Cricetulus griseus: one gene and its partners. The protein of the gene in region 7 purifies or fractionates together with the protein of the main gene of each other region. This does not show direct contact. Links are inferred from orthologs where the notes say so. Each region holds a gene or a part of one and is shown on either strand. Other genes may lie near its edges. The genes, in order: Elavl1, Fmr1, Hnrnpu, Iqgap1, Syncrip, 40S ribosomal protein S2-like and Stau1.

Evidence for each region.
Region 1: the proteins of Stau1 (region 7) and Elavl1 purify together in Homo sapiens (affinity purification with mass spectrometry; 3 studies listed by BioGRID, with this or other methods). This does not show direct contact. The link is inferred for Cricetulus griseus from reciprocal best matches to the Homo sapiens genes STAU1 and ELAVL1.
Region 2: the proteins of Stau1 (region 7) and Fmr1 purify together in Homo sapiens (affinity purification with western blotting; 3 studies listed by BioGRID and IntAct, with this or other methods). This does not show direct contact. The link is inferred for Cricetulus griseus from reciprocal best matches to the Homo sapiens genes STAU1 and FMR1.
Region 3: the proteins of Stau1 (region 7) and Hnrnpu purify together in Homo sapiens (affinity purification with mass spectrometry; 4 studies listed by BioGRID and IntAct, with this or other methods). This does not show direct contact. The link is inferred for Cricetulus griseus from reciprocal best matches to the Homo sapiens genes STAU1 and HNRNPU.
Region 4: the proteins of Stau1 (region 7) and Iqgap1 purify together in Homo sapiens (affinity purification with mass spectrometry; 4 studies listed by BioGRID and IntAct, with this or other methods). This does not show direct contact. The link is inferred for Cricetulus griseus from reciprocal best matches to the Homo sapiens genes STAU1 and IQGAP1.
Region 5: the proteins of Stau1 (region 7) and Syncrip purify together in Homo sapiens (affinity purification with mass spectrometry; 3 studies listed by BioGRID, with this or other methods). This does not show direct contact. The link is inferred for Cricetulus griseus from reciprocal best matches to the Homo sapiens genes STAU1 and SYNCRIP.
Region 6: the proteins of Stau1 (region 7) and 40S ribosomal protein S2-like purify together in Homo sapiens (affinity purification with mass spectrometry; 3 studies listed by BioGRID and IntAct, counting the BioPlex papers as one, with this or other methods). This does not show direct contact. The link is inferred for Cricetulus griseus from reciprocal best matches to the Homo sapiens genes STAU1 and RPS2.

What each region holds. Positions count from the first base shown.
Region 1 is NC_048597.1:89,139,677-89,143,973, forward strand, and holds the start of Elavl1 (ELAV-like protein 1), read right to left. Parts: upstream 2,964-4,297; 5' UTR 2,802-2,963; intron 1-2,801. UniProt on the Homo sapiens protein: RNA-binding protein that binds to the 3'-UTR region of mRNAs and increases their stability.
Region 2 is NC_048604.1:6,733,556-6,737,361, forward strand, and holds part of Fmr1 (synaptic functional regulator FMR1), read right to left. Parts: coding exon 3,736-3,806; intron 1,648-3,735; coding exon 1,477-1,647; intron 1,368-1,476; coding exon 1,289-1,367; intron 1-1,288.
Region 3 is NC_048598.1:15,817,557-15,821,967, reverse strand, and holds the start of Hnrnpu (heterogeneous nuclear ribonucleoprotein U), read right to left. Parts: upstream 2,932-4,411; 5' UTR 2,722-2,931; coding exon 2,109-2,721; intron 1,090-2,108; coding exon 978-1,089; intron 891-977; coding exon 817-890; intron 1-816. UniProt on the Homo sapiens protein: DNA- and RNA-binding protein involved in several cellular processes such as nuclear chromatin organization, telomere-length regulation, transcription, mRNA alternative splicing and stability, Xist-mediated transcriptional silencing and mitotic cell progression.
Region 4 is NC_048596.1:116,873,769-116,877,574, reverse strand, and holds part of Iqgap1 (ras GTPase-activating-like protein IQGAP1), read right to left. Parts: intron 3,675-3,806; coding exon 3,572-3,674; intron 2,975-3,571; coding exon 2,839-2,974; intron 2,518-2,838; coding exon 2,430-2,517; intron 736-2,429; coding exon 523-735; intron 1-522. UniProt on the Homo sapiens protein: Plays a crucial role in regulating the dynamics and assembly of the actin cytoskeleton.
Region 5 is NC_048597.1:198,399,624-198,404,205, forward strand, and holds the start of Syncrip (heterogeneous nuclear ribonucleoprotein Q), read right to left. Parts: upstream 2,803-4,582; 5' UTR 2,608-2,802; intron 1,307-2,607; 5' UTR 1,295-1,306; coding exon 1,147-1,294; intron 453-1,146; coding exon 334-452; intron 229-333; coding exon 121-228; intron 1-120. UniProt on the Homo sapiens protein: Heterogenous nuclear ribonucleoprotein (hnRNP) implicated in mRNA processing mechanisms. Component of the CRD-mediated complex that promotes MYC mRNA stability.
Region 6 is NW_023276806.1:173,250,446-173,253,382, reverse strand, and holds 40S ribosomal protein S2-like, read right to left. Parts: upstream 1,470-2,937; 5' UTR 1,379-1,469; coding exon 713-1,378; 3' UTR 702-712; downstream 1-701. Other genes in the region: Gsap (gamma-secretase-activating protein), read left to right, coding at 1-189.
Region 7 is NC_048599.1:12,481,598-12,485,403, reverse strand, and holds part of Stau1 (double-stranded RNA-binding protein Staufen homolog 1), read right to left. Parts: intron 3,335-3,806; coding exon 3,188-3,334; intron 2,226-3,187; coding exon 2,150-2,225; intron 2,001-2,149; coding exon 1,681-2,000; intron 1,180-1,680; coding exon 1,057-1,179; intron 593-1,056; coding exon 507-592; intron 1-506. UniProt on the Homo sapiens protein: Binds double-stranded RNA (regardless of the sequence) and tubulin.

The DNA of each region.
Region 1 (4,297 bases), on a different chromosome or scaffold from region 7:
TCTGTCTCAATGCTCCCTGTCTCTACAGGGAGCTCCCTGTAGAGACCTAATTGGTTTTCTGACTGCCAGTTAACTCCTCCTGTGCAAATGTGACCCTCTCTGTCAATTAGCATGGATCTGGAGAGGGCCCTCATAATATCTGAGCTCTCTTCCCAAGAGATCTGCTACTCGCTTCATTCTACTTTCCCAAAAGTTCCATACCCTGCATGGTTTCCCAAACAAATGGAAGCTCCCCACCCCCACCCCTCATCAATTTCTTCAAGAGCCTTTCCCATTGGCCTTTTACCTAGCTATTTCCTACCAGTCTTCCTGCCTCAACAACTCCAGGGAACATTCTGAGGTCTCTTGGGCTTCAGTAGGAGTTCCTTTACCTGTGCTTCAACCTTGGTTGGTACATTACTATTGTTCACCAGCTAGGCTGAAATCATCTACACACAGGTCACATACACTATGGCCTCTGCAGAAGGTAGCCTCTGAGCTAGAAAACAGCTTGGGGGAGGAGGACACAAAGACTCACTTCCCTCTTGGCCAATTTCCTTAGGTCTTCTCTTAGAACCAGGACCACTGTTGAACTACTGCCACCTAGGGGCAAAGGGCAGAACTACATCTCACTTCATCATTCAGCATGTAACTAGGTTGAACACACTGAATGGGATGGGAACACAAACCAAGAACAGTTGATTCTGGAGAAGGTGGAGGAGCCTTGGCAGTTGGAGGCAGCTTCAAGTGGTATTTGTGCTCTGAGACGGGGCCACACAGCATGAGAAAGAGATCTTCTTCCAAGATAAGACAGGGTCAGAGGGTGTAGAGGGTCACCCCAAACTAAGGGCTTCTCATTTAAATCTTTAGAGCCATTTGAACAGCCCAACACAACTCCCCACCCCACCCCAAGACTTCTAATGAGGAGAAGCATGATCTGTATCTTCAAAAGTCAACTTCTGCAGGTGTACAAAGGCAGAGAGAAGAGAAGCAGTAAGTGTGGGAAGCAACTGAGCAAGCACAGGAAAAAGTATGTTTTTCAATCTCTCCCTTTCTAATGTTGCCCTGTGACCTATTCCTGAACACATCCAAATTTGTTTCCCTCAAACCAGTGCTAACAGAAATGTTTCTTATTTCTCTCAGCTTCTTCACAGACCTCCAAGTCACAACACTAAAAAATAACTTTAGATTTATATGTGAGTGTTTTGTCTATACAAATGTATGGGAAGTGTATTTGTGCTTGGTGCCTGCAAGGTCAGAAGAAGGCATGGGATCCCTTAGAACTGGAGTTATTGATGGTTGTGAGCCATCATTCAGGTGCCAGGAACTGAACACACAGGTCCTCTGCAAGAGCAACAAGTGCTCTTGTCTGCCATCTCTCCAGCCCCGCAACATTTTAAAAACCAGACCTCAGCAGTTTTGTACACACACGTTCAGTGTCAATACATTGGGGAATCTCGGACCTGCGTTCAAATCCTGCACTGGCCACTTGAGCGTACAAGATTATCCTAAGCTAAACTTTACTTTCTTCTCTTAAGTGGATATTGAAGTTTTAAAACATGGTGATTGATTATTTGTAATATCATGTATTCCATGTGTGGCATGCACAATCCTGGGATTTTCCTCACATCTTTACGGTTGCCCAGTACTTTCATCCTGCTATTTTACAAGCAGTTCAATATAGCCTACTCGAAAATCTTAGGAGCATCCCACAGAACATCAGAGATAGGGCTGGAAGAACTTTTCTAGAAGGATTATTTAAGGATTTCTCACCTCTGTGTGTGTATCTGTTTGGTGGTGGGGAGAGCAAGAAAGACCCCTAGCAACGCTTGAATTTATTTTTGGTCTTCACAACTGGGAGAAGTGGGAGGCAGAGATGCTAATACTTAGTAGGCAGAAGCCAGTCATGCCATCCAACTTCCTACAATGCACAGGGCAGCCAGGCCCCCACAACCAACCATTATCTGACCTTAACTGTCTGTAGCAAGGAGGTTAGAAGAGCTTTCTCTATCATCGGATCTTGCCCCTTTTAGAGCACTTGGCCATCGGTATCCCACAGGATACACTTTCGATAATGAAAGCTCTGTCCAGCGCAAAAAAGTTCTCCGCCTGCCCTGCACACAGTAGGTGTCAAAACCCATTTTGACATGCTTTAGCAGCAGAAAGACAAGAGAAAAGACCCTCCTTCACTTCCCATTGTTCAACTGCGTGCAATTATATTTTCAATATTTATACATTATTTTACAAACGCAAACGTCCCGAGAACAGCTTTGTTAGAGATGTCGATCAAAATTTGTTTCCTTTTATTTTCTAGGACTTCCACACATACAGAAGAAAGGTTTGCACACTTCTAAAAGGACCTCACGATCCGTCGCGGTGTATCCTGAAAATCGGCCACAAAAGAAATCTGTGGGATTTCCCGAGGGAGCGAGTCCGTGGGCCGTGACCTCTGGGCGCCCAAGGCCCTCGCTCCTCTCTTCCGCCCCCGGATCACCGGGCTTCCGAGACTGACTATGCAGGGCCCCCCAAAGCCTCGGAGCCCGGCCCCCCAAAGCGCGTGCCCACGCCGTGTCCTTCTCCCGCCTCTCTCGCGGGAGCCCAGAGAGGAATCTGGCCCGGGGGAGGCTTGTCGCCGACCTGGATCAAACCGAGTCGGTTTCCCTTCGCCTAGCCACGGCCCACACGCGCGTCTCCGTACCCAGGCCTGGCGCGGCCTGGGGCCTTCGGCCGGTGCAGGCCCGGCGGGCGCCCGCGGGGCTAGGCGAGCTCAGGCCCTAGCGCGGCCTACTCTTTCGGAAGTCGCCGAAGCCACCCGGCCTCACCTGAACACGGGCGGGAAGGCCCGGGGCTCTGCTCCGGGGCGGGCGGCGCGGCGATAACGGCTCCGCACGGCCTCGGTAGCGGTGGTGGAGGCGGCAGAGCGGCGACGGCGACGGCGGCGGCAGCGGCGGCGACGGCGGCGGCTCCTCCTCAGCGCGCACGACCCGCTCCCCGGCCCCGCGGCCAGACACGCCCCTTCTCAGCGCGCTCGTCTATTGGTCGGCGTCTTCGAAGAGCCTGCGCTCATTGGCTAGTATGGCTGTCGAGGTACTCTGGTGCGTGCGGCGGAGGCAGGACTTCCTGTCGGCGCCGCCTGCGAAGGGCTAAAGCGGCCGGTGGAGACTCGGAGTGGCCAGCGATGGCCGTGGAAGGGGCTAGCTGGGGCCAGGCGCGCAGCAGACGCCGACTGGAGCGGAGGCCGAGGAATGGCTCTCCTTGAGGAACGCATGCCGTGTGGTCCTCATCTGACGGGCTGTGCAGCCGCCTACGCCCACAGTAAGCAGTGTGGTCATCGGGAGCCCAGACTAGGAGGGTAGAATCCCTGGTTCGAATCCCGGTTCCTACCGACGTTTCGGTTCCGCCTGAGGTTGAGCACCGGTTGACGTCACTTCGCCTGGCCTCAGTTTTCTTACTAGTGAATTAAGGGATGTGGTCAGCATGGCATTCCCTAAGGCTCTAACGTTGAAATTTATTGGTTTTAAGTTTTTTGTTTTTCAAGTGTATGGGTGGGTTTCTGCCTGCATGTATGTCTGTGCACCACATGCGCGCAGTGCTTACGGAGGTCAAAGAGAATGCCGGTTCCTCTGGACTGTTGTTAGCTGCTATGTGGGCGTTGGGAACTGAACTAGGGTCCTCTGGAAGAGCAGTCAGTGCTCTTAATTACTGAGCTATCTTGCCAGTCCCCGTTCTTTGAAATTTTAAGTATATACTATGTGTCAGCCAGTCAGGCAGTGATTAGAAAACAACTGCCTGTCCCTTTGGGGGCTGCTGTTGTGCGCTAGTGCTATCAGAAAAGTATATGCAAATTGCATGATTAAAAAAGTTCTCTTTGAGCCGGGCGTTGGTGGCGCACGCCTTTTATCCCAGCACTCAGGAGGCAGAGGCAGGTGGATCTCTCAGTTCGAGGCCAGCTTGGTCTCCAGAGCGAGTGCCAGGATAGGCTCCAAAGCTACATAGAGAAACCCTGTCTCGAAAACAACCTCCCCTCCAAAAAAAAGTTCTCTCTGTCTCTCGTGTCTTTTTTTTTTTTTTTTTTTTTTTTTTGCGTGTTTTCTTTTAGTCAGGGTCTTCCTAAATAGCCCTGGCTTGGAACTGTGAACCAGACTGATTTTGCCTCGCAGAGATCTGCCTGCCTCTGCTTCCTGAGTGCTGGATTTAGAGGTGATGTGTATGTTTTTGAGACAGGGTCTCATGTGACCCAGGTTGGTCTTCAACTCGATATGTAGCTAAGGATGTTGGTGAAATGGTCCTTCTGCTTCCGTCTCTCAAATTCTAGGAT
Region 2 (3,806 bases), on a different chromosome or scaffold from region 7:
AAAAGATTCTCCTCTCAAGGGCTAAATCAGATATCCAAAGTCACACAGTTACCAAATACAGCCAAGCATTTCCCCTACCACAGCGCCATGCAAATAAACTTCAAAGGACACCCACAGTTCTATCATAATCACGTCATCCTGTGCTATTCTAGGCATGGATCTTCTACACAACTGGATGCGTGCTACCACAGTAACACTATATTCACAAACTTCTGTTTTAGTGTACATGTCAGCTACTAACTTTGCTAGTATTTGTACTTGACCTTGAAGCTCTTTTTATTAATGGGAAATATACCATGACTCTGGGACCAGTTTTTGGAATTAGGGTCTTGCTATATGTACCCTATGCTGTCCTTGAATTTGTGATTCTTCTGCCTGTCTCCTGGATGCTGGGACATTACTAGTACTTTTTAAATGATACTGGAATGCTGGAATGCATTCAGGAGGCAGAGACATGCAGATTTCTGTGAGTTTGAGGACAGTCTGGTCTATAGAGCAAGTTCTAGGACAGCCAGCCAGAATTCTGTTTCAAGAGAGAAACCCGGTCTTGAAAAAGACCTGTCTGTCTGTCTATGTGACACTGGAAGATGATTATGATTCTATTTTGATAAAATGCAGCCTATGAATATTTTAAACTATGTACGTAAAATACATAGGAAGTTTGTTCATTTTAAACTCCTACAAGAGATTAAGAGGTGATATGCCCCAATCTTATTTATAAATTCAAAACACATTTTGTTTTTTCTTATGGTTTTTATATAAAGCTATACCTTTGGTATGTTCTACCAAACATAGCTGAATTATTTGGGAATGCCAACGAAAAGATCCTATTCTAACACTAATCACACTAATGATTAGGAAACAGTATTAATCAATTTAAAATGAAGAATTACCACTGAATCCATAAAATTCCTAGGATACTAGGAATTAAATTTATCTTTCAAATTTAATGAATGCTATCACTTTAACAAATATCATTTAACAAATATCACCAAAGCCTCAATTTTCATTCATGTGAAAAAAATTAAAGGCTATAATAAAAAATGATATAAGGAGTCTAGGTAAAATTTATCCTTTTAGACATTTATAGGTCTGAACAAAGTATTTCTTGTATATCTGAAAATAGAATCTTTGAGTATGTATTTTCTATACACTGTAAGAACAGATTACATTTCAAAAAATTGCTCTAATTAGATTACACTTCTTAGTGAGAGAAAGAGATTTAAGTGATACAGAAGTTGTGTACAGAATTATTTGTGGTATATATTAATAGTTATTTTTGACTTACCTACTAAGTTACGTGGAACTTGTATGACATCTTCAGCAAATTCCAGAAAGCTTCTAGCCTTTTTCACTGCATCTTGATCCTAATAAAGCAGGGTGAGTGGGTGTAGTACAAAGACAAAAAAGATACATCATTTGAAATACTGTTTGTTTGTTTTGCAGGGGAACTGGATTATATAGTGAAATATTTACCTCTCCATAAATATGAAATGTGCAGGTATCCTCATCTAAATCAATAGCAGTGACCCCAGGTACTTTTCTAGCTTGCTGAATATTAGCACCATGAGTACCAATAGCTAGACCCATCAGATCTTCTCGTACAATAAACTGTTCATGAAATCTTGAGGCAAGCTGCCTTGAACTCTAAAGAGAAATGCACAACTGATGAACATACTTTATCAATTATGAAGACAATTTTATTTAGGCCAGCCATGTAAATTATCTTGACCCTATATATCAGGGTCCTATAAATTGCTTTATTTGAAAACTAATTTTAGAATTACACATAAGTTCTTTTTAGGCTACTGAGTCTGTGCCATTTAAAACATTTTTTGTTAACAGGAAAGAGCTTGTGGACAGTTTTTCAAGGTTACTTTTGAAAACCTATTTGCAAGGCTGCCTTTGTTATTCAATGATATCCACAATGTAATTAATAATTAAGAAGCAGACAAAATAATCCCAATTAAAAAACAGCTCACTTGGTCTGACAGACTCAATGAAATTAAGTAACAAAATAAAAATACCATCTTTAAGGAAAAAAAATTACTCACTGCACTTTTATTATAGATATATTAGTACTTTTTCTAGAAATGGTGTCACTTTCATAATACATCACCAGGTATGGTGGATCTAAGCATTTTGCTGAAATGTGGCATTAAAAGAACACAAAACTTAAGGAAAAGAATTCTAAAACTTTCTGGCTTATCAGTTAAGTGAACACTTACAGAATATAGATTTCTCAAATTTGTTTCACATACGTGATCAGAGTCTGTAAGACTTTGTGATCTGGATCCCCAATGAACTCTTCATCAATGACAAAACTAAGTTCCAATGATACCCCACACATGTGGATAATCACTGTCTTTAAGTAGCATACCAAAACTGAATGTTTAGTTCTAGCATGCCATTAATGAAAATCAAACATATTAGTGGCTCATGTTGAAAAATGGGTATTTCTTATAAGGATATATGAACCCCTTTAATATTAGTAGTGAAGAAAATAGGCATGCACACTAGTTTATCATTATTCAACACACCTGATAATTTGAATGAATGAAAATATCTAATGTAAGCAATTTTAAAAGAAGAATAGTTATTTTTAAAGGTAATAGTAGTAAAGTGTACAAAATATTCTAGGATTTTCCAAGAAGTCACGTTTTTGGATCTTGACTCATTAGCCTGGTTCATTCTTTCCATTGATAATTTATGGACACACGTAAACTAAAGGTATGGCAAAGAGCATTCAAGAAGAATTAGATGCTTAGGAAGAGGTATTTTCTTAATACTCACAATGAAATTAAGAAGACTGCTGTGGCCTAAGTTATGAGAAAAAAAATCACTAAACAAACCACATTGTGAACTTGGGGGACCATCAAGAAAGAATGAGAGCAAAAAAACAAACAAACAAACAAACAAACAAACAAAAAACCAAAAACAAAAACAAAAAAAGATCAGACCTCAGCGGCCATTTGGAAAACAAAAGTAAAATTTTCCTTTCCTGTTAAGAGTTTATCAATCACACATCAAGTTGAAAAGTGGCAATTTTCACATCCTTGACTACCTTTTCTTTTAACTGCAATTTTAAACTCCCCCTTTGTTTTGCTTTATCAACTGACAATTCCCCTAACAAAATGAATAATGATGAGGGCCTCTTCAATTTGACAGCAATCTACTTGAGTTGGCACATTAAAATAAAATCCATTTAATTTCTATGGTAATGGATGGAAGTACTAGATAGTTATCAATGAAAATAAATGTATGGTGATGGCAATTATTGGAGGATTAATAAAAGTAGATAAAATGCACCTTAAGAGACGAAATAGTAAGTTAGGGAAATAGCCTCTGGCAGGAATCTGAAGACAGGAGTTTTAAAGAGTGACAACCAATTAGAATGAAGAAGTTCTATACCCTTTTAAACAGAGATAAACATACATAATGAAAGGAATAAGATTAGATATTTAAATACTCTCTAGTACTTTAATGATAACATGTTACATAGAAGAAGCAGTCTCACTTTATAGCAGCTTTGACAAACTTGGCAAAAATGAATTGTCCAAAACTTCCTTAAAACACATGACTGCTGTGTAACTTCAAAACATCAGGCATGAAAACTTTAGTATGATTATACTTTGAATAATTTAATATTCCAAACTATAGGGCAACAGGAAGTAAACAAGAACTATACAGTTATTTTTGGACAGCTTTGCCAAAAGTGCTAGGGAAAGAACATACCTCCAGTTGCTTACTGGCTTCTTCATTTCTCAGAATGAGAGACAGCTTAGTGCGCAGACTTCGAAAGTGCA
Region 3 (4,411 bases), on a different chromosome or scaffold from region 7:
TACAAGTTTTTAACCCTTTCTAACATGTGAAACCCTTTAAAACTCTTTATTCAAGCACCTTTTGTTCTGCTCACACCAAGCATTATACATCCCTATCAAATACTAAACTAACAAACTTCTTGAAAGGATCAAAATACAAATCTGACAGCTAAAGCCCATTTCATGGCTTGCAATACTTCCTCATACTCTAAAGTAGCATATTTACAGCGCTGCCATTGATACCATTCGCTGCTGAAGAAAGCTAGTGGCTCAGATAGCCCACTGCTGCTGCCCCAGGTCTTTGGAAGAAATCAACTTATGTTAGAGCAGCAGCTACTGAACTGGAATTGAGAACAAAAGAGCAGTTATTGAAAAGGTAATATGACAATCCTTAGAATAGGGAATGTACTTGTGCGCTAATGGGAAAATCGTTAGTAAGTATTCAACTAGCCCAAATAGCTCACTTAATATAGTAGCTCCACAGAAAAATTTTAATTTTCATATTACCTATCTAAGGACATGTTACAGGCAGGTTTTAAAAACAAGTTTCTGAAAGCTGAACAAAAATCGGTATTAGTTTTACATCCCTAAATATTGGGAACTTCCATGACATAAGTATCAATTAGTAGAGCTTGTAAAAACAGCAATACAACTGAAGTGTCGCTAAACATAAAACTACTGTAACCTGAACATGAGCTATTATCTTCCTGATTTAAAACAATCTAACGGGTTTTCTCCACTTTAAGATATACAAACACACTTTTCCTAAGAGTTAAACCAAAATAGCACTGCACTTAAATATTTGAGAAAAAGAGCGGGAAAGTTTGCTTCACTTACAAGTATCAAGACAAACCACTGTGTCATCGAAGTGTTCGTCTTCTTCTTCAACAGGTGGCTGAGGAGACTTGGCTCTGAAAGACAGAATCGTCTCCTGATAAAGCTTTCCCAACCACGCATAAAAACTGGGTGACAAATAAAACTAGGTTAGGATCCTCTACCTGCTGTACTTGTTTTCTTCAATGTACTCAAAATATCCTCGGCCATGATCTTCTCGCGGTCTTTTAACACCTCTCTTTTTATCTCCTCCTTTCTGTTCTGTTTTACCGTCTCCTATAACGACACAGAACACAGCCTTAAATCATCAGGCCACAGACTGAATTATAGAGAAAAGCTCCCGTTTCTGTTCCGGGACTTTTAGGGGCTGTTATTTTTTCCCTCCTAGACTGGATCTCGGACTTTTTTATTTTTGGTTTTTCCAGACAGGGTTTTTCTGTGTGGCTTTGGAGGCTGTCCTGGAACTAGCTCTTGTAGACCAGGCTGGTCTCGAACTCACAGAGATCCGCCTGCCTCTGCCTCCCGAGTGCTGGGGAAAAAGGCGTATGGCACCAACGCCAGGCGAGTTCTGAGACTTTTTAACCCACGAAACTAATATGAATCTAGAAAAAATCGTATCCATCAGCCTGGAACTGCACTGGAGACGGTGACGCAGTCTAAAGACGCTGCTAATCCTGCCAGCCTAGGGTAACCTTCCGGAATGCATTTAAGGACTAAAACCGCGCGCCCGCCGTCCGGGCCCACGTGCTGCGCGCCGTGCGCGCGGCGGCGGCGGGGGGTGTGGGGGGGAGGGCAGGGCAGCGTGGGCCCGCCTCCCCTCCCCCATCCGAGCCCGCGTGCCCCGCCGCCGCATTGTACTGAGCTTCCGCCTCACTCCCCGCGCCCGGCGCCTCCCGCCGGAAGTGACGTCACACCGAGCCCCTGCGCTCCTTGCACAATACCGCGGCGCTGAGCCGCCAAAGCCCGCCCGCCCCGGGACCTTCCCCCTCCCCCCAGACATGTGCCCGAACCGCGCGCACGCAGCGCTCCAGCGGCCGCCGCTCCCGCCCGGCTCCTCCCCCACCGCGGCAGCTGCAGCTCCCCCCGGCGCCCGACACACATAATGGAGGAGGCGCCGCCGGCATGGCGAGCCCATCCTCTCGGCGGCCCCGGGGCTCCCCCGCCCCCCCCGCCCGCCCGCGTCGCTCGCCCCTGGGGCCCCGGCCGGCCTGGGGCACGGTCCCCACGCGGGCCTACAAGCCGCGCGCCCGCCCGCCCACCACGCAGCCCTCACCCGCCGCCTTCCGCCTTCCTACCTCCGGCCTGCGGCTGGCCCTGCCTCGCCCCGGGCGGCGCCACCGTCACCGCGAAGAGCGAGGTGGGGCCGCTGCTCTTGCCCGCGGCCTCCTTGCCGGCCCCGCGCTGCTGCGGGGTCTGCGGGGCCGCCGCCGGCGGTTGGGACTGCTGCTCCCCGTGGCCGTTCTCGTCGCCCGCGCCCTCCTCCTCGTCGCCGAGCTCGTCCTCCCCCTCCTGGAAGCCCTGGTCGTCGCCGTTCTCGTCTTCCGACGCCGCCTCCTCCTCCTCCATCGCGCCCGCGTCAGCCGCCCCCGCCGCCCCGTTCTCCTCGCCCAGCTCCATCTGGTCGCCGTCCAGGGCGGCGATGCCTTCCTCCTCCTCGTCGTCTTCGGCGCCGGTCGCGGCCTCCTGCTCGAGGCCCGTCCCCGAGCGCCCGGCCGCATCGCCGCCCAGGTCGAGGCTGCCGTTCCCGGGCTCCATGGCGGGGCGGCCGCCGGCCTCGTTGTCCAGCGCGGCCTGGAGTCGATCCATGAGATCGGCCTTGAGGCCCTTGTCGGAGAGGCGCCGCTTCTTGAGCTCCTCCTTCAGCTCCGACACCTTCAGCTTCTTGACATTAACAGGCGAAGAACTCATGGTGAGGGCCCCGGTTCACCGCGGACTGCTGGCTCCCTCGGCCTGTGGCGGCGGCTGCTGGTCGGCCCGGGCGGCGGCTGCGGCTGGAGATGGCTGAGTGCTGCAGAGCGGACCCGCCTGGTGTCGAACGGCGCCAATTCCTTTCACCGAGTTCGCGAGGCAAGACGCGGAGACTCGCCTGGCGCGAGCGAGCACGCAACGTCCTCTCGCCGGGGCGGCGCCGCGCACGTAATATAGGCGCCCCGCCCCCTGCCGGGGCGGGGCTCGCTAGGGCGGCTGCGCGCGCAGGCCCCGCCCCTTCCCCGCCCCGCCCCCACGGGGCGACCTCGGCGCTGGGCCCCGGCGCGCAAATGGAGGCTCAGGAAGCCGCCTTTCGGTTAAACCGACTGGCCGCGGCGGCCGCCGGCCTTTCCGGCTTCTCGGCGGCCGCGCTCCACGGGCCGTCCGCCTCCGTGGGCCCGGAGGAGGCTCCCCTGCACCCGCCCTGCGTCCTCATCTGGCATTTCCCGCTGGAGGACACCCTCCTTTCTTCCATCTTAGTTTGTCTTTTTTTTTGTCTGTCCCTCCGGCTCTCGCTTTAAGACTCCGCCAAGTTTCCGCTGCTGCTCCGCAGAGCACAAATAAGCGGCTGTTAGACAGAGGTGGTTTTTTGTTTTGTGTTTTGTTTTTTTCTTCCTCCACTTCATTGCAGTTTAATTTTTTACAAGCCCTGCCTTGCCGATCGGACTTTTTAAGTTCCGCAAGGGCGAGGCCCCAGCGTTTCTTTTGTCTCTTCCATACCCGGTGGTGCAAGGCCTGGGGAGGCGCAGGCTTGCCCTACCGCTCCGTGCCGCACGGCATGCAGTGTGGGCCTTGTGCACTTCTCACCGTCTTTACTAGTGACCCTTGAGTAACCCCTAGAATTGCATGGAAGATTCCCCTAGACTCACTGTAAAGACAGGCCTCTTGCAGGAAGGACTTCCCTTAGTTAACCATGAGAGGGACATCCAGCTAAATTTTAATGCACTTTGATTCTCCCCGTTTTTTCAGACACACACTGAGTTGTCTACACACTTGCAGTCCTATCTCTTGGCAGACTGAGGCAGAAGTATCAAGAGTTGAAAGCCAGCCAGGGCTACATAGTAAAGTCCAGGCCGCCTTGGGCTGTATAGTCAGACAGACCCCATCTCAAACAAACAAACAAAAAATTGTTGCTATTTTTCTCTGTAATTAAAAACATGTTATGTTCTTGAAACTTTTAGGTAGAAATAGAATTTATTTTCTGCACGGGCCATTCTGTGTAGATTGTGCCTAATAGGTGTGTTTATACAGGTCTATAATTACAACCCTTGGGAGATGCAGGCAAGAAGATCAAGAATTCAGTCAGCCAGGCAGTGGTGGCACACACCTTTAATCCTAGCACCAGGGAGGCAGAGGCAGGCAGATCTCCCAGCTCCAAATATCCTGGTGTACAGAGCTATTTCCAGGACAGCCAAGGCTAAATAAAGATGCCTTGTCTCAAAAAACCAAAAAGGTTGTGTGTGTGTGTGTGTCATCTTTGGCTACATAAAGAATTTAAAGCTAATCTGGGCTACCTGAGACCCTGTTTCTACAAAACCAAGTACTCTGGCAGTAAAGCTATGGTTGGCCCTGTCTTCTTTCTGTGCATCTGAAACTTGAAAGCATAGAAATGAAGTTTATCCTATTTGGC
Region 4 (3,806 bases), on a different chromosome or scaffold from region 7:
TCGTGAACTCTACAACCCAGCCGGGCTGAACTCAAACATGCTGACTGTTCTTAATAGGCAGCGACCTGTGTTTGCAACCTAAAAGAAATTCAGATCTCATCTGCTTAAATCCTCTAGCAACAGGGAGCTGTGTGCTCACATTTTGTTTACATACTTTACTTACAGAGCTGGTCTAGACCTCATAAACATGCTATCCTGAGAGGGAAAAAAAAAAAAAAAACCAGGTTCCTCGGTGCAAACAGCATTATCCCAGTGAAATTAGAACCCTGGTTTGGGTGATTCACACAAACTTTACCAACTTTATATATTCCATAGCAATTATGAAAAAGCCCTGAAGGATTCTTTAAAGGCAATGAAAAACTCAAGACACTGGAAGCTCTACTGAAGTCCTGATGTCAGAGTCAGACTGTACTATTCTGCATACGAGAAGCTATGCTGTGGCCTGAGTGGCTACTGTCTGTTCATGAGCTCCTGATGCGGCTGTAAACAAGGCCGGGCCACCACTGTTCCCACATGCAGTACCTTGGCAATGTCGTTGATGAGTTCCTGGTATTTGTTCTTTGGGTCCACGGTCCCAAGCTCTGTTAGCTTCTTTAGGCCAGTCTGAATTTTCTCTTTCTTCTCCTGAAGGCTGAGGTTGTTATCCTCCTTCACAGGTTTTGTCTTTTTCATCTTGTCGGGGGTTTTGGCGTCCCGGATAGCCCGTCTCTGCATGGCCCTCTGATGTTCGGCTTCCTACAGATGAAAAGAAAAATACTTTTTGGTAAGTTCACCACAGGAGCCCTAAACCTGGACTCACAGCATATCTGCAATTGAATACAGAGTTCTCCAAGTCTGCTGTAAATGTCTTCTCTCTACCAGACAAGGAACAGCATCAAAGTGAGATACCTCATTTCACCTAGCAAAGTACAACTGTGAATCCAGATGCTGTGCTTTCTTGATACTAGGTGTAGCCAGAAAACTAGATTCTATGAGCTAAGAAATCCTTTACCTTTTCCCAGCTTAATTTAGGATGTTGAAGTCAAAATGTGGCTCATAACTACACAAATTAACACCAATAGCAGTGCCCAGTGAAATCTTGCTAATGCTCCTGACACACTGCCTGAGCTGGAGCAGGCTCCTGCTGCCCTCTGCTCCCAAGCACACTGCAAATACTGTCATATCAAGGAACCTTCCTTAGACTCTGCTGTCTTTCCTTACCCTTTCCCTTACTTTTTAAGAAAAAACAACCAAGACAAGGTCTTGCCAGATAGCCCAGGCTGGCCTTGAACTTGGTAATCTTCCTGCCTCAACTGAGCAGAGATTGAGTACTGCCAAGCCCAACTGATCATTCTGTAACAACTTCATCGTCTTTTCTGACTTTGGCATCCACGGCTATCATCCATGGCTGTCATCACCATCTCCTCACCCCAGTCTGAGCTCTAGAGTTTTAGATAATTCCACCCTCAGCTTTGCTTTTCTCATAACTACCCCGCCCATCTTCACCCCAGATCTCACTGTGTTCTTCCCTCCTTGGTCCCATTATTCCTGTGGGCTCTCTTCCCCAGAATTTGCTCTTTTGTTTTCCATCACACCCAGATCCTCCCAGTCTTTAAGTGTGGCTTGGGTTCTGTTTCTTTTGTTGTGACTTCCTGATACACTGTTCCTCACTGGCCTCCACCTCAAAAACTGTGGGGTTTTTTGTTGTTGTTGTTGTGTTTCTGTTTATTTTGAGATAGAGTCTCACTGGCTGGCCTGGAACTAGCTATGTTGACCAGGCAGGCCTTGAAATCACAGATATCTTTGGGATCAAAGGCATGCCCACCATAGCCAGAAACTTCTGGAATCTTTTTTGACTTTTGTTTTATGTGCATTGGTGTTCTGCCTGCATATATTCCTGTGTGAGGGTGTCAGATCTTGGAGTTACAGACAGTTGTGAACTGCCATGTGGGTGCTGGGAACTGAACCGAGTCCTCTGGAAGAATAATCAGTGCTCTTAACCACTAAGCCATGTCTCCAGTTCCCTGGCATTTTTATAATCAATACTATAGCTAATTTCTAATGGTCTTATGGTTTCAGATGCATGTATCATAATTTTTCTAAATGGACCTTAAAGTTTGGAGCCACACCCTGTACTTTTATAGACACAACCAAGGTACTTCATATAATTACAACTATAAGACAGTCATTAAATTACTACATAGACAACATGTTCTGTCCCAGATTAAATTCTCATCTATCCTGTATTCTCTATCTCATGTTTCATCCTAAGAACACCTTCTGGATTTAGGAGCCACCAACTTTCTCAGTCAGATGAGCCCTGTTTACTACTGTTCCATAGCCAGATCCATGCTCACCCAAGGGTCCAATCCCTTCCCTGTGCCCCTATCCCCACCCAGGGATGCACCTATCATAGAAAAGCTTATCCAGTGTGAAACCTTCATGTGTACCTGTTCACTGGTGGCTGGTGTCTCCAGGATTTCAGTCAAGGTGTCTCCTGGCTGGAACCGGATGACATCCACAATTAAACGTTTTGTGCTGCAATGAGATGGGAATGGGTTTGAACATGGCTGTGTGTTCTACCTCCTTGTCATAGGATCTGAGCAGTATCTGAAGCATCGTCACCCCACAGCGCCTTGCTACAGCACCCAGAGGGACAGTTACTGGCACAAGGAGCAAGGGAACTATAGCAGGTGGTACAGGGGAGGAGTTCCAAGACTGTAATTGTATGTTAGCAAAGTAAGTCCTGTGCCAAGCACGATGCAGGGTGATGAGCACTGTGACGGGCAAGAGAGGCCAGGATGGTTGTTCCAGGTGAACTGGATTCTAAGCCGCTTCCTTCTCCCTTTCAATACTCACTTCAGTAAGATGGCCCGAGCATCCATCTCTGCATTCTCGTCACCAGGCACATCAAACTTGTTGGTCAACGTGAGAGATACTTCTGTCTTAGCCAGTGCCTCCTTGTTGGGGTCATTTAAATTGCCACAACTTTCCCCTGCAGTTTTTGAAGTGTAGAAAGAGTCAATGTAATAAAAAAACACTTTGGAGGGAAAATAATTCAAATAAATACAATGCAGGTCAGTATGACTCTTGATAAACCAATGCCCTTCAGTGTGATGAGCAGTTGTTACTGAGAAGTAAAGGAAACTGAGGCAAATGGTTGAGGAGAAGGGTCCATAACACAGTAACTTCATAAAAGTGTGAAAAACTCGTTTCACTGGGCACGGTGGTGCACACCTCTAATCCCAGCCTTCAGGAGGCCAAGAGAGGTAGATCTTTGGGAGTGTGAAGCCAGCCTGGTCTTATCGAGTTCCAAGCTAGACAGGACTACAAAGTGAGACCCTGTCTCAAAAAATTGTCAACAATCTAACTATAAGACTTACTTTCTGATTATCTGTATTACTTTTGTCTCTGTATTTAAAAGTATCTGCTATTTCACTGGACTCAGGTGCTCATAAGGTGGGGCCTATATTAGTTTTGTTCCCCACTGTGTATCTAGACTCTGATATGGCGCAAGATCAGAGAGACAATGATACTAAATCCCCTGATGCGGTCCCCTCTCAGCTTTTCAGAGGCTCATTAAGAACATTACCTATCAGGGACTCGATGGTGGGCACCTCGCCAAGGTCATCCAGCAGCTCGTGGATGGGGTCGTTGTGCTCTGGAGCAATGGCGTCCTGATGGTCCAACAGGAGCTGTAAAGAGATCCAGTGACTGACCTGCATCCCTCCATCTCCACCCGCAAGGCCAACAGGTATCTTCACAAAAGGGGCTGAACAACAAAGCCACCACATCCGAAGCACAAACAAGCTAACCTAGTAAACAGC
Region 5 (4,582 bases), on a different chromosome or scaffold from region 7:
ATGCAGATCTTTAAGTTAGAGGCTAGTCTGGTCTAAAGACCCTCCAATGCTGCAGAGAAACACTGTCTCCAAAAACAAAACACACACACTTAAAGCTACAGAAAGTTCTCAAAAACATACCTTAATCTTTGACTCATCTGGTCCTTTACTGGAGTCCGCTACTTTGGTCCCTTGTTTCTCTCTCTGCCTGTAAGTCTTCATGACTCCACATAAAAAGGCACTTTTGTTCTGTAATGAAATTTTCCATTCATATTAACATTACTATTATGTCTGTGTCTAATTAAATTTAAATAAGATCAAAAGTACTTTTTTCTACACTGAAATTAACATTACCTGCACATGAGAGAGATCACTATCCTTAAATTGTTGAAGAACTGCCAATGCGCCGTCTTCATTGAACTCTTTTAAAGCTTCGATAGCTCTTTCATCTAAATCACTATGTGCAACTAGCCCTGGAAAGAGAAAATGTAGTTAGTTATCACCTTTTAAAATTTCCAAATTATTTCTTCAGAAAGTCCTGTATTGGCCAATACAGGTACACACACGTGGCGATTCTACTCCCCTTATCTACATAATGAAGAATATATTTTAGCCATTCTGAGCTAAGTCCTCTCAACCACACAGAAAGAAGTCAACATATTTTACATCCCATTTGTGTCCAAGTAATCCTGAACACTGCAATATTTCTACAATATATAAGCCTACAAATCCTGTCAACCAACAAAACACCAAGCATAGCAACTGCAAGTCTACTCAATGTCAAATGCCACTAGAAAAAAAGGAACCACCACACCAAGAAAAACAAGAGAACTAGCCTACAGTAACCAAGTTATTAAACAAGAACCCTGCTTTAAAAATACCCCAAAAAGTCACATGGGCTGCTCTCAACATTTAGCAGCTGTTGCTACTATCATATACTTATCTGTCAGGCCAGACAGCGTTCCCCTAAGGGAGGTCTTTTCCCCACTTCATCCCTCCCTCTACACTTTAACCTCTAGATCAAACCTAAATTAACCAACTATCAGAACAAGGCAAAGCTCCAGTTCCCACATTTATTGGAAACCACAAAAAGTTGCTATTTTAGCTCAAAGCCAGAAATCCAATAGAAAAATTTCATAATGTAATTTTGCAAGTGTTGTTTCTTACCTGCAACGTAAATTTCATCTAGTTTTTCAGCAACTTTCTGTGGTAAACCAGCATCAAGCAATGTCTGAAAATTTTCTGAATGGATAACTGCAGAAGTAGTATCCATGGGCTCTTCAGTACCATTTCCATTAACATGTTCTGTAGCCATGTTTCCAGAGATCTGTTCAAACGCAATAAGCAAAATTAAACTAGGGTCTTCAAAAAGAATAGAGGACAATGACAGTCCCAATCTTTACTTTCTACCAGTAACTACAACCAGCCAGCCTGCGCCTCCCTCGAAAGAAACCTTAAAGTCACCATCGCCTGACAAGCCAGATTTGGAGCCCGGGGTACAGACGGACCGATGCACTACATTCTTTCCTGATCACCACCCCTGACTTCACCTGCTAACACTCGCTAGGAAAAACCGTATTACAAATGAAGCCCAATCAGCACAGGGACCGGCCGAGCCTGCCACATGCAGCAGTTCCAAAACGGAGAATAAGGTGTGTGTGAAGAAAAGCAACGCTGGGCTTGTCTCTCTCCAAGGTAAACCAGAAAGTGCGCTTTTCCCGCCTGCCGCTTATAGATCAGTAACAACAGCCAGCGAAGAACAAAGCGCTCACACAAGCCACCTTCCCACCACCCAATTCCTCCACCCTTCACCCCCACACCCCAAAGCCCGCCCCCGACTCCGCACCCGGAGCGGCAGCCTCACCACTGCGGCCGCCAGGAGCCCATTAGAAACACGTGCTCTGCGCCTTCAAATGTCCTACAACTTCCTTCAACGGAAACCCACCGAGTACCGGGCCAAGGCGGTCGTCACCGCCTCTCAACATCAACCCGCAGTCGCGGTCCGAGCCCCCCGAACCGTGCAGCCGCACAATCTCGCCTCTCAACACCGAGGCCGCGGCGGCGCCAGGCCACGGGCTCTCCCCGCCCCCCAGCGCCGCCGTCTCCGCCTTGACACATGGCTCTCCGCCCCGGGTGCTCCCCAGCCGCCCGCGACCCCCGGCCTCCCGCACCCCTCGGTGCAGCGGCTGCGGGCGCCGAGGCCGACAGCCCGCGCCGGGAGGGCGTTCCGCCGCCAGGCGCACGCCCGCGGGAGCCCAGCACCGCCCAAGCCCGCCGGCCGGCCGGCCGGCCGCGGGACAGCACCCCGCGCCTCTCCGCCCACTCCCGCGCCGCCGGCCACGACAGCACCAAGTCCGCCCGCCGCTCGCGGTCCGCGCGGGCCACGGGGCTGCCGAGGCGCCTCCTCCCGGAGCGCCGCAGACAAAGCCCGGCCGCGGCAGCACATGGAGAGGAGGAAGTGGCGGCGCGGCCGCGGCCTACTCCCTGGCAGCCCCGGCCAACGTGCTCCTCTCCCCCTTGGAATCCATTTTCCAGAAAAGCCGGTTTCTCCCCGCGCCGCCCTCCCCCAAGCTCCCTCCACAATGTCATGGAGCCCCCCTCCCAGACCCGGGTGCCGGCGGTCGTTACCTCCCCGCGGGGCTGCGGCCGAGGAATCCTGTCCGACCGGGTCGGGTGGCGGGGAACGCGTGCTCGCTGCTCCCTGTGTCCGGCGCGAGTGGAGCTGTTGTAAAATGGCGGCCGAAGCTCACGCCGCTGGCAGCAAACCCGATCCAGTTCCACTCGCCTCCGAGCGCGCTCCCAGTGCGCGCGCGCGCCCCCGCGTGACCCCCCTTCCCTCCCCTCCCTGGCGCGTCCGCTTCTCTCACTCACTCCCTCAGCCCCTGCCCTCCTACAGCTCCTCCTTCTCCCCTGCCGCCGCCGCGCCGCCGCCGCCGCCGGCCGCCGGCCGCCCTGTCCCCTCGGCCTTCCTCCTTTCCCTCCCTGCACCTCCTCCCCCAGCGTCCCCACTCCCGTCCGCGGCCGCTCAGACACGAGTGGCCGCCCTTCTCTCCTCCTCGCTGGCACTCTGGCTCACGCCCTCCCTCGCTAGCTCTCTCGGCCCGTCCCCAGTCCCTGCCGAGTCGCTCTTTCTCTCTCCCGCGCTGACGTGACGACGCAGCCGACGCCTCAGGACGCGCGCCCGTGGGCTCCGCCTCCCGCCCCGCCCCTAGCTCCTGGCGGGGAGGGGGAGAGGGGAGTCGAGACCCCGCCCTTCCGCCGCGGCGGCGATGAGGGGCCAAGTGAATGAGAGACCCGCCCTCCGTGCGGACACTCCCTCGCGCTCCGCGGGCGGGGCGGCCTGCTCGGCGTGTCCCACTCGTTCTTTGTCAGGAGACAAGCATCTCCCCACCCCGCCCTCCCCGCCCCCACCGCCCCACCGCCCCGCCGCCGGCCCCCGGGCTCCGAGGGCTCCGAGGGGCTCCGGCACTAATCGCCCGCTCGGCCGGGACCTCGGCCGGGGCCGCCGCCGCACCGCCCCTGGGCGCTCGGGAAGCTGCAGGCGCACGTGTCCCCCGGGGCGGGGCGAGGCGAGGCAGACAATGGGGCTGCGGGGGGGAGCCGCACGGGGATGGCGGAGCTCCGGGCGGCCGGGTGGCGGGGCTCGAGTTCGGGAGTCACCCCGGGGAGCCCCGGCTTCCGCCGCTGGACAATGGGGCATCCCGCGGCCCGGCGCGCGCCGTCCTCCCGCTCCCACGAGTCCCCTGGGCGGAGGGAGGGGCACCGCGCGGCGGGTTCGCGAGGAAATCCCAGTGCCTCCCGCCCGGGGATGACACGGAGGCCAGATTTGGAAGCTTAACCGGCCCGGTGGTGTTGGGTTGTGCAATATTCCGTTCCTGTCCCTGGCCTTCGAAGCAGTTGAGTGCTCCTCCTGGCACACTTTGAACAACTTGAAGCAGCACAAAGCTTCGTGATTTAGGACAACTGTGAGGAAAATGTCCGTGTCTCTTTTCAAACATCTTGGTAACTACATGTTATGTGAAGTGACATTTCCTTTGTAACCGTTTACTAGGTACAAGAAAGAGAAGACAAAGGCGCTTGTATCCCAGACGATATGGATGCTAATTTTTTATTTTATTTATTTATTTTTGCTTTTTCGAGACAGGGTTTCTCTGTATCTTTGGAGCCTATCCTGGCCCTGGCTCTGGAGACCAGGCTGGCCTCGAACTCAGAGATCCGCCTGCCTCTGCCTCCCGAGTGCTGGGATTAAAGGCGTACACAACCAACGCCCGGCTATGGATACTAGTTTTATCCAGAGCAACGGTAATGAAAATAGCATTATCCTTTTGACAAAAAAAAAAAAGGTTATTTTTAGAAAGCTACTGATTCCCCCTAAATGAGCGTTATGCTATAATAGCAAGCCAGTAGCCCAAAGAAAGTTAGATACTCTTCAAAGTGCTAGGCACATAAAATGGTGCTTTGACAGGTGGACAACACAGAAAATATTTCTGAAGTACTATCTAACCTTACCTGTTTAATAAAGCCCTGGATATCCACTGCCTAAATCCCTATCAAACATATTCCTGCTAGAGGATTTAATTAATTCAAGGAGATTTTAGTTCAT
Region 6 (2,937 bases), on a different chromosome or scaffold from region 7:
AGTCCCTTACAGTCCCTGCCGGGGTCCCTCATACTGGACTGCTCTTCTGGAAAGGTCTATAGAGCAACCCTTGACCAGTCGTACCTGCTGTGGTTCCTATGGAACGCCGCCCACCTGGACTGTGAGAAGATGGCTGCATTGCACTGTGCACTCTCGTGTGGTCAGGACCCAGGTTTCCAGGAAGACCAGGTGAGAAGATTGTGTGAGCCTGCACACTGACAGCAGACTGCACCAAACATTCTTGTTGCTTCAAGATGATCAGAAGTGATTTTTGCTCGGTAGCAGTGGTGGCTGTCTGCCAGACTGTGAAGGTCATGCATCTGGCTGTTGAGTACAGTTGTTCCCTTCATCTGTCATGTCACTTTCCATGACTTCAGTTATCTTACATCAACTCTGGCTTAATACTATTAAATGGAAAATCCCCCAAAGGAGCAATGCATATGTTTTACATGGTATGCTCTTTTAAGTAGTGTGTTGAAATCTTGTGCCATCCTGCTTCACCTGGCCTGGGGTTATGAACTGTTACTTTGTCCAACGTATTCATGTTACAGTTGCACTTTTCTGGTTTCCAATACTGTAAGCACAGATTCCTCCAAGGACACACAGGCAACAGTGAGTTTCTCAGCTACCTGCTTTTCTCTCCATGTCTGTGTTTTCTTGTTTTGTTTTGTTTTCAGACTTAATTCACTTTATTTTCCTTGTATAAAAACCCTTATGTGGTGGCCACAGCTGCAGCCTGGGTCCTCTGAACAGAGACTCTGGTGTGGGCTTTCACAAGATGGTCAGTGAATTCCTGATAAGGAGACTTGGTGAATACAGTCTCTTTCCAGAGGTCGGGGGTCAGGTAGCTGTAGGTCTTGGAGATGGCATCAAAGGTGGCCTTGGCAAAGTTGCCCAGGGTGGCAGTGCAGCCCCTGGCTGATGTGTAGCAGTCATCAATACCAGCCATCATCAGTAGCTTCTTGGGCACAGGAGCAGAGACTATGCCAGTGCCTCTGGGGGCAGGGATGAGACGCACCAACACAGAGCCACAGCGGCCTGTCACTTTACATGGAACAGTGTGGGGCTTGCCAATCTTGTTCCCCCAGTAGCCTCTCTGCACAGGGACAATGGAAAGTTTGGCCAGGATGATGGCCCCTCTGATGGCAGTGGCTACCTCCTTGGAGCACTTAACACCAAGATCAACATGACCGTTGTAGTCCCCAATAGCGACAAAAGCCTTGAACCTGGTCCGATGGCCAGCTTGAATCTGCTTCTGCACTGGCATGATCTTTAGAACCTCATCCTTTAGGGATGCACCCAGGAAGAAATCAATAATCTCGGATTCCTTAATGGGCAGGGAGAACAGGTAGATCTCCTCCAGGGACTTGATCTTCATGTCCTTAACCAGATGGCCCAGCTTGGTGACAGGGATCCACTCCTTGTCTTCGGCTTTACCTCCATGAGCCCCGAGGCTGCTGTCACGTCCTCAGTCATGTCCTCGACCACGACCATGACCGTGGCCCCTGAGACATTTCTGTGAGTTCAAGGCCAGCCTGGGCTACATATTAAGTTTGATGCTATCTTGAACTATAGAGCTAATTCCTGTCATAGCCTTCTCAGAACAAACAAACAAATGCCAAAGGCATAAGCACTTGTGACAAATGTTTATTAATTTTTAATAAGATAGCTTAGTTTGTATTGTACACTGCCGCTTATGAAGTGTTATCTATTTTGTCATTTACTTTATGAAGCTATCGTATAAGATCAGGAAAACCCTGTTGTCAATCAGTGATAGCTGGGGTTAGAGGCTGATTAGTTAGTTGAAAAAAAGCACACTTTTTAAAAAACACATAAAAATATACATTTATCTGCTTACCTTTAGTGTAGAACAGGCCTGTTCTCTGTGAACCAGTTGATTAAACTGCAGTCATTTTGTGCCACAAAACCAATCCCAGAATGTTGTCTCTGATTTCCTATTCCTTCCTAAGAGGTTTGTACTTGTGGATACATATTCATGTGTCTTTGTGTGTATACACACATGTGTGTGCATGCACACCTATGCACATGTGTGTGAAGGCCAGAAGTAACATTGTGTGTAACTCGATAAATAAAAGACCCAGAGACAGATATTGGAATTCAAACTTCAAGATGAAGATCAGAAAAGCAAAGCAGCTGGCCACTAGCTCTCACTCTACCTCAGAATGAAAGGGGATCCTGGCTCCACCAAACCTCAGACTGTAACCTCTCCTCAGTGTGGCTGGAGAATCCTGAGACTTCAGTGTCTTCCTATCCTCCATGTGGCTGGAGAATGAACGCCTGCTCTGAGACCCTGTTCCTGTCTTATATAACTCCCTAGCACTGGGATTAAAGGTGTGTGATCCCAGGTGCTGGGATCAAAGGTGTGAGCTCTGTTACTCTTCACTCTTGTATAGGCCAGGTAAGGCATGCAAAATAAGTCACCTGGCGAGACAGATTTAGAATCAAGCATCCTGTTGAGAGTGAACCATGGCTGGACATGTCTTACCTGTAAAGTAGGAGATGAGAACTCCAGCAGTTAGCACAAGGATAGAACTGTGAGAGAGTTGCAGACATGACAGAGGTCCCATGTGTCCCTTGTAAGGGAAGTAAAGAGGTGCTCCTCATGGGTAAGTTGTGTGACCATGTTCACAGTGATAACTGCACTGAACTTTAAGCCCAGGCTGCTGCCTCCAAACCCAGTAGTTTCATTGTACTTTGCTCCTGTGTCCCGCAGCTCTCTTGATGGGTTCTTTGTGTAACACCATCAATTCCTGCAAAACAAACAAACAAACAAACAAGCCACATATTGGATTGAAGTTTTATCTGCATACTACCCAAAGCTCCCTGTTAAAAGGATATGTAAAAAGCACCTCATACTGACATACTCAGCCAGGGCTATATAGGTTTTTAAGCTGGAAGTTGGTATATTTTTCAGGT
Region 7 (3,806 bases):
ATTCTGCATGTATTCTGTGTCTGAGAAAGAAAGAAAATGACAGTGGGCTGGGGACACAACTCAGTGGCAGACCACTTGCCTGATATGACCAAGGGCCCTGGGTTTAGTCCCCAGCATCGTCATTAAGCATTTGGAAAGAGTTATTTCCATAAACACAGGAGAGGCTGCAGTTCCTTCAGTGGTCAAGAGCACTGCTATTCTTCCAGTGAGCTGGGTTCAGTTCCTAGAACCCACATGGCAAGACAAAGTGGGACAGAGGAGAGTGAGTGGGGTGGGCACTGAGTGAGGGCAAGATGTACTACCATGTATCATTAAAACAACATCAACCTTTTGCTTATTCTCAGGTCTACATCAAGGAGGGTACTGCCTAGAAAACATGGGGCTCTCCAGGGGTTCAAACCAGATTGCAGCTGCTTCCCCAGAGTTGACCTGCTGCTCACATTCACTCAGGGCACTCCTGCCTTCCACGGACGGACACCACACTGACCCTGCAAATGCTCACTTACGCTGACACTGGTCCATTTCCTGTTCTTGGCATCTCTGTGCTCTGTTGGTCCAACTCAGACAGCAACTTTAAAATGTTGAGTGCAGCCTAGAAGGGTGGAAGGAAGGAATAGTCAGCCAGAGAACAAGCCAGACTCTCCTGGAAAGAGATATCAAAAAATGGATAGCAATGTCTTAAAACTTTTTTTCCCCTCCCAATGTAATGTTTGAATCACCTACCCCGCCCCCAACCAGCAAGATGGTTTCTGTGTAGCCCTGGCTACCTTAGAACTCATTCTGACCCCTTTCCCCCCTAACTCCGAGATGTCTGCTCTAGCCAGTGACAAATCTCCTGTATGCAGACTCCTCTCCTTTAGGGTTTAACGTCACCTGAACAGACTTGGTGGGGGGGGGGGGCAACTTTCTACAGCTCCCAGAATAGAGGCTGAAGAGTTTAGACTGTTTGAAAGGTTACAGGAGAACGTGTCCCTCTTCCTGAGACCACCAACAGTCTGAACAAGGCAATGTGCCAGGCTCAGCCAGCTTCTCTCCGCAATCTTGGGGCCCACATACCATATCGTGACAGGACTCCACATCCTTGCCAATGCCGTGGCTAACAAGGGGTGGCTGTGAGGAGCAGTTGATGAGAGACACACACTCGTTCTTGTTGTTCTTGGGGAAGTCTTTGTATTCAACCTAAGAGAGAAGAGCACACACCCAGCCATGTGAACCCCAGCCCAGAATCCTCCAGGGTCCTACTTAGGTTTTAAATGCTGCTTCCTAAAGAAAAGTGTCTTCTCTCCCTAGAGACCTGTCATGCTTCTTACTCCATAATCCCCCTCCACATACACTTGCCCTGGTGCGTGCGTGCATGTGTGTAAAGCACGTGGCATGCCGGGTATGCAGGTAAAAGGACAACTTGCTGCAGTTAGTTTTCTTTCCACCAACAATCCAATTCCAGACTGTCGGGTTTGGTGACAATGCACCTTTATGCAGTGAGCCACCTTGTCACACCCCAGACCTGCCCCTGCCTCTCTCACTTCCTGCACTGAGCCACACTTTACACTCAGACCATATGATCTCACTTTTCCTGGTTTCTGTAGTACTGGGGGACAGAACCTGGGTTCTTCATATAGAAGATGCTGTAAAGGTCATTCTCTGAGGCCCAGAGATGACCACAGAAAGGCAAACAGTTACCTGGAATCCCTGGGCTCTGGAAAGGTAGTACAGCTGCTCAGAGGGTCTTGTGCGAGGTCCATGGGGTACGTGTCCTGAAGAGATGTTACTCTTTAAAATGGTCTCGGCTGTGGGCGAGGTGCCCCCGTACAACAACTCTCGAGCTATCATGGCAGTTACCGTGGCCTTGGCAGGGTTCGGAGCTGCCCTGGTGAAATCTTTGGTGTGGTGTCCTTGACTAACCCCAACAGCCTGGGCAACCTCTGGCACCATGGGGAGGATCCCGGCTGGCAGCTGCTGATGGCTCAGATAAGGCATCCTGAACTCATCCTCTTTATGACCTGTGAGGGACATACAGGTCACCACAGCCACCCCAACACCCAAGAAGCTACAGTGCCCTCTTCACCACCTCAGCACATACAAGCTCCTGTGCTTCAGTCACATAATAACCATGCAAACCCAGACACGGGATCAAGAGGGTCACACTTACTAGTTGCATTTTCATCCCCAGGGCTAGGTTCAAAAAACGTTACTTTCCTTCCGTCTCCTGGTTTCTTTACTGGGGTCTTAAGAAAGAAAAATGGCAGTGAGCATGGACAAGCGCTGGGGTCTGTGTGCATTTTATCGCCACCCATACACCACACAAGCTCTCATGCCTGCCCATGCTGGCATTTACATGGAGCAGATCATGAATGCAGAGCTGGCTCTGTGCCAAGGACCAGGAAGTGCTGGTTTAGAAGTGCTCAGCCCAGTGGGAGAATAGATAGGGTCTGCACTGGTGCTGAGGGGTGCCTTACATTACCTAGAACTAACATCCAGAAATGCTTCCACAAAGAACACAGAGGCATTTAGTGCATGACCGTCAGACACAAGGCAAGGGGGTTTTCAAATGGGAAATCTGAAAGCCAAATCCAGGTTTATGCAACTCCATATGGAATGTCTGCGTCCCAGGTAGTGACTTTGCAGGCACAGTGGGAGCTGTTTCTAGTCATGAAATGCAGAACTCAGAAGAGGCTCAGTCCTACTTTAGTGAACCCCAAGGACAACGGCTGGAGCCAGCAATAGTGGCTGATGTTCTCCTGGAGTCTTGTTGACCACTCTGCAGAGTAATATTCAACTAAGAATCACAGGAGAATTCTCAATCTGAACTATATAGATTTGGCCTTTTGTTAACAATGCTATCTTGTCCCAGAGAAGCCAAAGCCAGATCCATAGGAGCAATATGTCATGCAAACCCCTTTGAAGCACAGATGGTAGCCATACGTATTCATTCCAATCCCAACTACCCATCAGGAGAGAACAGGACATCCTGCAGAAATGCACATCCAGCCCACAGCGACACTAAACAGACTTAACCAAACCACTCGTGGGACACGGTGAACTGGACAGGAAACTTCCCTCCTGCAAACACTATCAAGTGGACGAACCCCAGGGGGCAGGCTGCTTACTGCAGGGAAGATGAAGCCTTGCCCCAGGCTTGCCCATGCAGGGAGCTAGGCCACCTGGCAGTGAGAGTCCCAGCAGTCACCTTCTCTTCTGATTTGAGTGCTGGCTTGGCAGGCTGCGCCTGGGGAACTTTGAACCCCAAGATCTCCAGCATGTTCTCAGCAGCATTGCGCTTGGCCACCTTCTTATTGGTACCCGCTCCTTCTGCAGTGTGGTTCCCAACCTTTACCTGCAGAAAACAACAAAGACCTGTGGCTGAACCTTCTAAGACACAACAGAAACTGGTTGCTGTGCTGCCAAAAGGCCCCGGGGATGACTTTGCTAAACAGGATGGAAAAGGTGTTTTGTGCAGCCAATTCTGAAACTATTGCTGTGACGGCCACATTCAAGTTAGAAACGTTTAAAATCTACAATAAAGAATACTGTATGGAAAATGTGTGCCTCGATCCTTTCCATCAACATATTTATAAAGACAGGGATCTAACCATAGTGATGCCTCCCTCCCATACCACTCTTCTGAGGGCTGGCTGTTGGACAAATTCCAGCATACTCCATTAAAGCCGTTCTGACCACAGGTGTCTGGCTGCTAAAATCAAAATCCGTGCCAGAACACTGAAAGGGTTAACAGGACTCCTTCCCTGCCCTAGGCAAATTGCAGGTCCAACTTCCTTCTTAGAAAATGGACCCTCCTCATTTTCTTG